2 linked regions of the Drosophila melanogaster genome follow. The protein of the gene in region 1 purifies or fractionates together with the protein of each later gene. This does not show direct contact. Each region holds a gene or a part of one and is shown on either strand. Other genes may lie near its edges. The genes, in order: His4r and retinin.

Region 1 (3,638 bases):
TAAAACGGGGAAAAAGCGCCTTAAACCTCGGCCTGAGGACGATCTTCAGGTACCAGTCGGCGACATGCACATGGAGTCGTCGTATATGTCCCGCTCCGAAGAACTCTCCTCAACGGACGTTACGCTGGAGAACTCAGACTACGAGACGGAGGCGACGGACTCCACGTTACTTAGTAGCTCGAAATACTCCTCCATGCATGTCTTTGTGCGGCGCAAGCAATCGGAGTCCATGTCACTCACAGAAGAGGCCGGCGACGGAGATGCCGGCGGTGGTGGAGGCTCTGGCGATTTCGGCGACCAAAATGTCATATCCCCGGCCAATGTCTACATGTCCCTGCAGCTCCAGAAGCAGCGGGAGCAGAGCGCCTAGGGGTCGTGACTTTAGGTTCCTCCATTCAAAATCCCCGCAGCCATTCGCAGCCGGAGCAGCGACACCACAGCTGGCTGATACGCCGAGCAGTAACAACAACAACACCACTACCACCACCATCACACCCACAACAAAGCAGCCAACTCGATTCGATAGGATCCCCACTGGGAGAGCTAAATTTGCAGTCATACTCCCGGGCAGTAGCAGTAGAAAAGGGAACCTGCTCCTTTTTGCACGTCCTGCCATCTGCGAATTCAAGCTGCACCAAAAATGTACAAAAATATACTTTGGTCTTACTAATTTCCATTAAAGATTTATTATTTGTGTGCTCCCTAAGCGAGTTTGTTGGACCTTATTTTCGGATGATTAACCGCCCCAAGTCAAAATGCACATATGCATGATATTGAGTTCTCTATGTGATATCTTTTGATTTATTTAGTCCGTATATTGTGAAATTATAAAATATTTGCGTTCGGTTAAGTTTGCGTTGAATACTACTGATTAAGATTCAATTGGATCAAGTATTTTGAATGTAGTTAAGTTAACTCCATGGTTATTTATTATGTGGAGGTTAGAGGGCGTGCTTAACCGCCAAATCCGTAAAGGGTGCGTCCCTGGCGCTTGAGGGCATAGACCACGTCCATGGCGGTCACGGTCTTGCGCTTGGCGTGCTCGGTGTAGGTGACAGCGTCACGGATAACGTTCTCAAGGAATACCTGTGAATTTTCCGAGAAATTAATCAGTTTTTCACCACTTTCCCTTCGTTTCGCCAGAACGTACCTTTAGCACACCGCGAGTTTCCTCGTAAATCAAGCCAGAGATACGCTTAACACCGCCGCGACGAGCCAAACGGCGAATAGCAGGCTTGGTGATACCCTGGATGTTATCACGAAGCACCTTACGATGACGCTTGGCGCCCCCCTTTCCCAATCCTTTGCCTCCCTTTCCACGACCAGTCATTTCTCAGTTGCTTCGTAAAGTTGGCTGAAAAGAAGAGAAGACGCAATAAACTGTAAAGCGACGCCATGTTTGGTGAAAGGTAAACGTTCATTTGACAGGTGAAAACTGTTGTTAATAAGTCTGTTTTCATACAAAATAATGGTCTCCAATTATTTTTTTTATGTTTATGCACAAAAAAACTTTGTTGACCGATTCTTCTATTATTTACTTAAATTTCTCAGCAACAAAACTCACTTCAAGAAATCTCCAGAAAATTGCTTGTGAGCGTGACCAGATCTCGCACACCTCAAAATACCTTTCGCAAAATGCGCGTATCTAGTATTTCTATTGTCTCACTACCAGCCCTGGTCAGTTATCGCCTATCGGCCATCGCTATCGCCGCCCCGTTGCGACAAAAAAGATTTAATCGAACCGAAAGACGTGCTCGCACTAAAATCGCTTGAAAACAGGCCCGCAGACCTGCGAAAAACGAAAAAGTGCAGCGCGCATATACTTTTTCAACTGTGCCCCTCTAGCTTAAAATTAAGTCGCGGCGAAAAGTCGAGTAAAACCCGCGGAAATGCGCATGCAAACGGCGTGTGGCCAGCAAAATCGCTGCCAAGGCACCGCACACACACTCGGCCACCCACACATACACACTTAGTGCTGTACTCGAAAAGTGCGAAGACAACAGGAACTCTGTGCCAAAATAATATTAACAGTACCCAGTTATTCCATTCCACTGCACCTGTCCCCGAAACATCGAAATATTCGCGTTACGTATACGCAACGAGTGCTGTAAACAAGTTTGCACAGGCGATAACAATGTCCAAATACGATCTGCTTTATCTAACGGCGCAGCTAACGCTGGGTATGTATTGCACTGCGAGTGTGTGGGTGCATACTTATTGGCGCCTTAATTCCCAGTCGCTTTATTATGTACATATGTACATAATATTATATTTTGTCTCTGCCTTACGATTTTCCTCTGTAATGCAAGCCGACTTCGATTTATAACCATTCGTGCGTGTGATTTTTGATGATATGGGGTGCGTAATGCTATTACTTTATTAATATCACATGGCGCTTGAAAAGTTCATATATAGGGTGTATAGGCTTTGTGATAGCTTTGTCCTATTAACCAACACATCAGAACATCTTAAATTTTCAGAAATTAGGTATAACGAATGTAAATGCTAGGAATCAAATCTATTTGTGAAGTGAATAATGTATACACTAGATACTCTATTAAAGCACCAACAATTGTACTACACAAATGTAGTAAAATATCGTAAGAATTGTTGACAGTGGGTACTACGAATTCATATGTTGAGCGCCAAACGCATACTCGGTATAAATCGATCGGATACCTAATTCCCAATCTTAATCCATGTGTGTGTGCGCTGAGCATTTCTTTGAATGGATTTTGCTGCATTAGGAACTTGTTGTATGGCAGGTTCTGGTTTCTCCCACCCTTTTGCTCCACCGGCCTCCCTCTCTTTCGCTCGCCATAGCCCTCTCTCTTTCTGTGGCGCAGTGCGCTCTCTTCCCTGTTGCTGCTGTTGTTGTTGTTGTTTCTGCTGCTGCTGTTTCCTTTTTCCGCACAAGCGCCACTTTAAACCCATCCCTTTCTGTGTGCATAATGTGCCTGCTTATGTATCTACTTTACTATAAAGCATGCACGCTTACGAACACACACATACATGGCCAGCGATCCGATTACCTAAAGGACAGTGGGACGAAAAGTGTTTCAAAGGATTGAAAACAGTTTGCTTAGCCAATGGTCAAGAAATATCAATCAATATATCGCAGGCTCGTTGCAATAAACGTTTTCAAAATTAAATTTTTTGTATTTACACATTTAAAAAGTGAATTATCATTTTAATTTTTATCAACAAAAATTTCGGTATTTGGATGAGGATCCCAGATTAAATCGAATTAAAGAATGTAAATAGATTTTCAAGAAACCTTACTGCAGGCCCACTGTGCACTGCATATCCGTGCATTGGGGCCATGCCCACTCAAAGGCTGGTGTGTGGCCAGTGGGGCTAATTCCGTGCCCAAATGGGGTGGCTTTCAATGGCAGAGGCCCCAGCTTAGGACGCTACTCCTGCTACTTCTGGGCATGCGATATGTGTACAAAGGATAGCGCCCACAAAGAGCTCGCTGAGCGCCCTCCCTTTCAGTCTTATTCCCCAAATAGGCTCGACTTTATTTGCCCACCCTTTGAGCACTTCCAACCGATAATTCCATTAACTTTGATCTTTAACTACGTTTTAACTTTTTGAAAGTCTTTACTCATGTTTTAGGACTGCTCAAATATATACTT
Region 2 (3,578 bases), on another chromosome or scaffold:
GCAAATTATCAAGATTCGAGAAGCCAAAATTTGATATCAATATCAGAAGTCTCCGAAAAGGAGTGCGGGCAGCTAGCTAATCGAGGGATGAATGCTCGGCTGATCCTGAGGCAGCTTCCCAATCACTTGATCTTTCGCATCCTGCACTATTCCCTGATCTCCCAGCAGCTGCGGGACGAGCTGGTAGTTTCTGCAGGATCATTCAGATTAAAAGGTGGTGGAAACAAGGTGCTGGAGTGGCAGCCCTTCGTCCTGTGGCTTGCCAACCTGCTGCTGAACTACGCTGGCGATATACTGGGCAACCTGCTCTTGGGTAGTCTTCCATTGGAGCCACTGTGCAATACCGCAGATGTCATGCTCAGTTCGTTGATCTGGTGAGTGGGATCTATTGCGCTCAATAAATTAAAATTACATAGTTCACTGGTGCGTGAGGAACATATTTATTTTGTTTATATGAAGCTTTGTTTCCACTCAAAAAGGTACTGCATCTTTTACTGTCCCTTTGACCTGGCCCACGCCGTGACCAGCACTTTGGCCTTTCGCATCCTGGCCACCGCCATGTCTACGATTAGCCAGGTTCAGTTGATCGATCGAGGAGTCCATTTGGCGGCACAGGTCTACGGAAATGCTCCAATCCCGATGCTAGTGGTTGGCACCGTCATGGGCAGTGGAGCCGAAGTACTGAAACCGGTGGCGAGTCTTTTAATCAATAGATGTCAACACAACCAGATGGCATACCTGAAGTTGAGCAAGTCTGTTACACTAAACTAATAAATAATGAAATCGAAAACTTAATATTTCCTTTTTTACAGCACTTCAAAAGTTGCACTTTTCATCTCCCTCCTCTTCATGTTGGAAGTCTATAAAAGTCCAATAATTATGGGCATTAACAGGCATCAACTTATGGTCTACATACTGGTGATGACCACCGCCTTTAAGTTCCTGTCGCTGTGCTATCGAACGGATCATATAATTTGGCTATTGGAGCAACATATACGGTACACCCTCTTTGGTGGCCTCTCCAGGGATTTAACCAAGTTCTTCCAACGCCTGCTGGAGCCTAAAGTCCAGCGAACGTGGGCGTATGCGGAATTTGATTGAGACCCTCGTGTGCATTGCGCAATCGTATCAAACTACACGCTCTCCACATCCCCGCCAGATTGGGTGGTTAGGGTGTTGGGGCTGCAGGTCTAAGCGGCTTAAGTTACCGCCCCGTCCAGCCAAGCGATTGGATCACTGCAGCAGATGTCTCGCTTGATCGGGTTACGTATGCTAATCAGCTTAGAATCGCCCACTGGTGGTCAGAGGAGCGTTGGAGCAGTGGGCAAAGCGAAGGAAGTGCTCGGTTACGGCCACAGGTTAGTGGATGCTACAGTGTGCTCACCCAGCTGTCGAGTAAAATTCATGCCTGACTATAAATTCGTGCATTTCAATAAAAACTATAAAACTAAACAATGAAATGATTTCTTGAATTTGCTAGATATGAATATAAATAGTCTTAATATGAGTTAAGTAATTCCAAACTGTTTTTAAAATATTCCTCATAATATATTTTTTATCAGAAAGCATGCATTGTTTAATCTGCCCTTTTCCATGTTATATTTCCATGTTCGAACAGATAACTTACCAACATGTCACTCCAAAAAAAAGTTAATACCCGCAAGAATGTGAAACCAAGTCCGAATAAGACTAAGAAGAATCCATCTGCCATCATCTCGATCCTCTGTCCAGATGGCGATAAGCCCAATAAGGAAGCCAAGCCCAAGAAGAACGGCGGGTCGGAAGAATTTCAGGCCAAAGAATGTCCCCGAACGAAAAGCTTCAAGCCACCAGAAGAGAGGCGAATATTTCTGGAGCAGGAGGTGGTTCCCATTCTAATGGAGGGCATGTTGGGATTGGCCCGGGAAATGCCCCGCGATCCCATCGGTTATCTGCAGAAGTTTTGGCTTGACGACAAGCACAAGTGTGACATTCCATTGCCGCAGAATATTCTTTAACATATAGCTCTGATGTAACCCAATCAAATTTCAAATTGTCAGCTAATTAAATGTTTTTGATTCGACGTTAAGCTTACGCAATGATGCATTTCTTTGATCAGTCAGGCGAAGAGATTCTGTACCGATTTAAGGGCTATAAAAGCAGATATTCCAATCTCAAACTGCATCATTCATTTCACAGTTTGCGGATCTAAAGGAAGACTGCTATAATCATGTCTAGATTGGTGAATTATTTCTTACTTTCATTGAGGGAAAAATTTATTCAATATATTCAACATTTCAGTTCCTGCCCGTCTTGGCCATTGTGCTGGTCTCCATCGGAGCTTCGCATACAGCCAGCTTGGAGTGGCCCTCGAATCTTGTGGCTCTCAGTTCGGTCAAGTCCTCGCAGCTGCTTCCGATTGCCAGCGAGGATTCCGTTGAGTTGGCCGATGGCAGTTCGGGGTCCGTCAGCTCATCCGCTGCCCAGCCGGAAGATCAATCCCAGGAGGAGGCGGAAGAGCAACAGGTCTCCTCCGCATCCAGTGGCAGTGCCGATCCGATTAGTGGCCGTCTTGTCTCTGCCGGAATTCCCGTCTCTGTGCCTCTTCCTCTGATCCTGGCCGCTCGTAATGGACTACGAACCGTATTGACCATCCAGGAGCCAGCCGTGGCCAAGGTGGGCGAGGTGGTGCAGCACGTGCCCACTGCCGTTTCGCATCAGACCCAGACGGTGGTGCACGATCACCGCCGATTGGTCACACCCATTGTGGCACCCGCTGTTCGCACCACCCAGGTGATTCGCCAGCAGCCACCACTTCTGTGGAGCGTGGCCTCCGATCCCCGAGTGGTTCTCATCCGCAACTAAGGATCCATTCAACAGATTAACACGATGAACTCGCCAAAGCTATGATACTTCTATTCTTAACTCCCTTTCTGGACCTAATAACCCACAAAAAGCTTTCTCCTCTACGTCTTCTTTCTTCTGCCATTTTCTGTAGATTTCTTCTGTAGCGTGCTTTCAATAAAGATTTCGCATTTGCATTTAAAAGGTTTTTGTGCTTTGCTTATTGGTTATTCTTTTCCTACCTCATTTCCAAAATAAACCAAAAAGAAGGGTATATTATGGCTTGAGTAACTTTTTAAAACTTCCTCTTCTCAATCAAATTTGCTAGCCCAGTCAAATCTATGTCTTTACCCATCTTATGTAAAATTATTGTCCTGCATTTACGTATTACGAACCCATTGCATTTTCACTTATCTGGCTCGGATTCTTGGGCGTTGTTGGTGCGACAGGAAATCAATAAAGTTAACACAGAGACCAGCCCACGACCACAATAAATATGCCACATCCGCCCCCCTGTTCCCAGCGAAATCTCAAATTGTGTGCAATCAAGATCTCTGGAGGATTAGGCTGGCACAGGGTCTGGGTTAACGCCCAAGCTCATGTTCTCATGTTCAAGGGCTGGGACCATTCATTTAGAATGGCTAGTCCATTCTCCAATCTTGAGTACTCAGCTCGACTATAAAAGCGGAGGATGGAATGGCCAACGAACAACAGTCAAGTGAAGTGAACTGAAGCAAGAAGATGTCACAGAGAAT

The links.
Region 2: the proteins of His4r (region 1) and retinin purify together in Drosophila melanogaster (affinity purification with mass spectrometry, with the first as the bait; one large-scale study listed by BioGRID). This does not show direct contact.

Annotation. Positions count from the first base shown.
Region 1 is NT_033777.3:14,623,742-14,627,379, reverse strand, and holds His4r (histone H4 replacement), read right to left. Parts: upstream 1,626-3,638; 5' UTR 1,565-1,625; exon of another isoform or gene 1,355-1,564; 5' UTR 1,331-1,354; coding exon 1,151-1,330; intron 1,087-1,150; coding exon 955-1,086; 3' UTR 776-954; downstream 1-775. Other genes in the region: CG7886 (uncharacterized protein), read left to right, coding at 1-370; put (punt), read left to right, coding at 2,135-2,180. UniProt on the Drosophila melanogaster protein: Core component of nucleosome. Nucleosomes wrap and compact DNA into chromatin, limiting DNA accessibility to the cellular machineries which require DNA as a template.
Region 2 is NT_037436.4:16,329,771-16,333,348, forward strand, and holds retinin (retinin), read left to right. Parts: upstream 1-2,162; 5' UTR 2,163-2,209; coding exon 2,210-2,221; intron 2,222-2,280; coding exon 2,281-2,844; 3' UTR 2,845-3,019; downstream 3,020-3,578. Other genes in the region: CG33061 (uncharacterized protein), read left to right, coding at 88-374, 480-752, 813-1,101; CG33060 (uncharacterized protein), read left to right, coding at 1,632-1,997; CG13056 (uncharacterized protein), read left to right, coding at 3,565-3,578.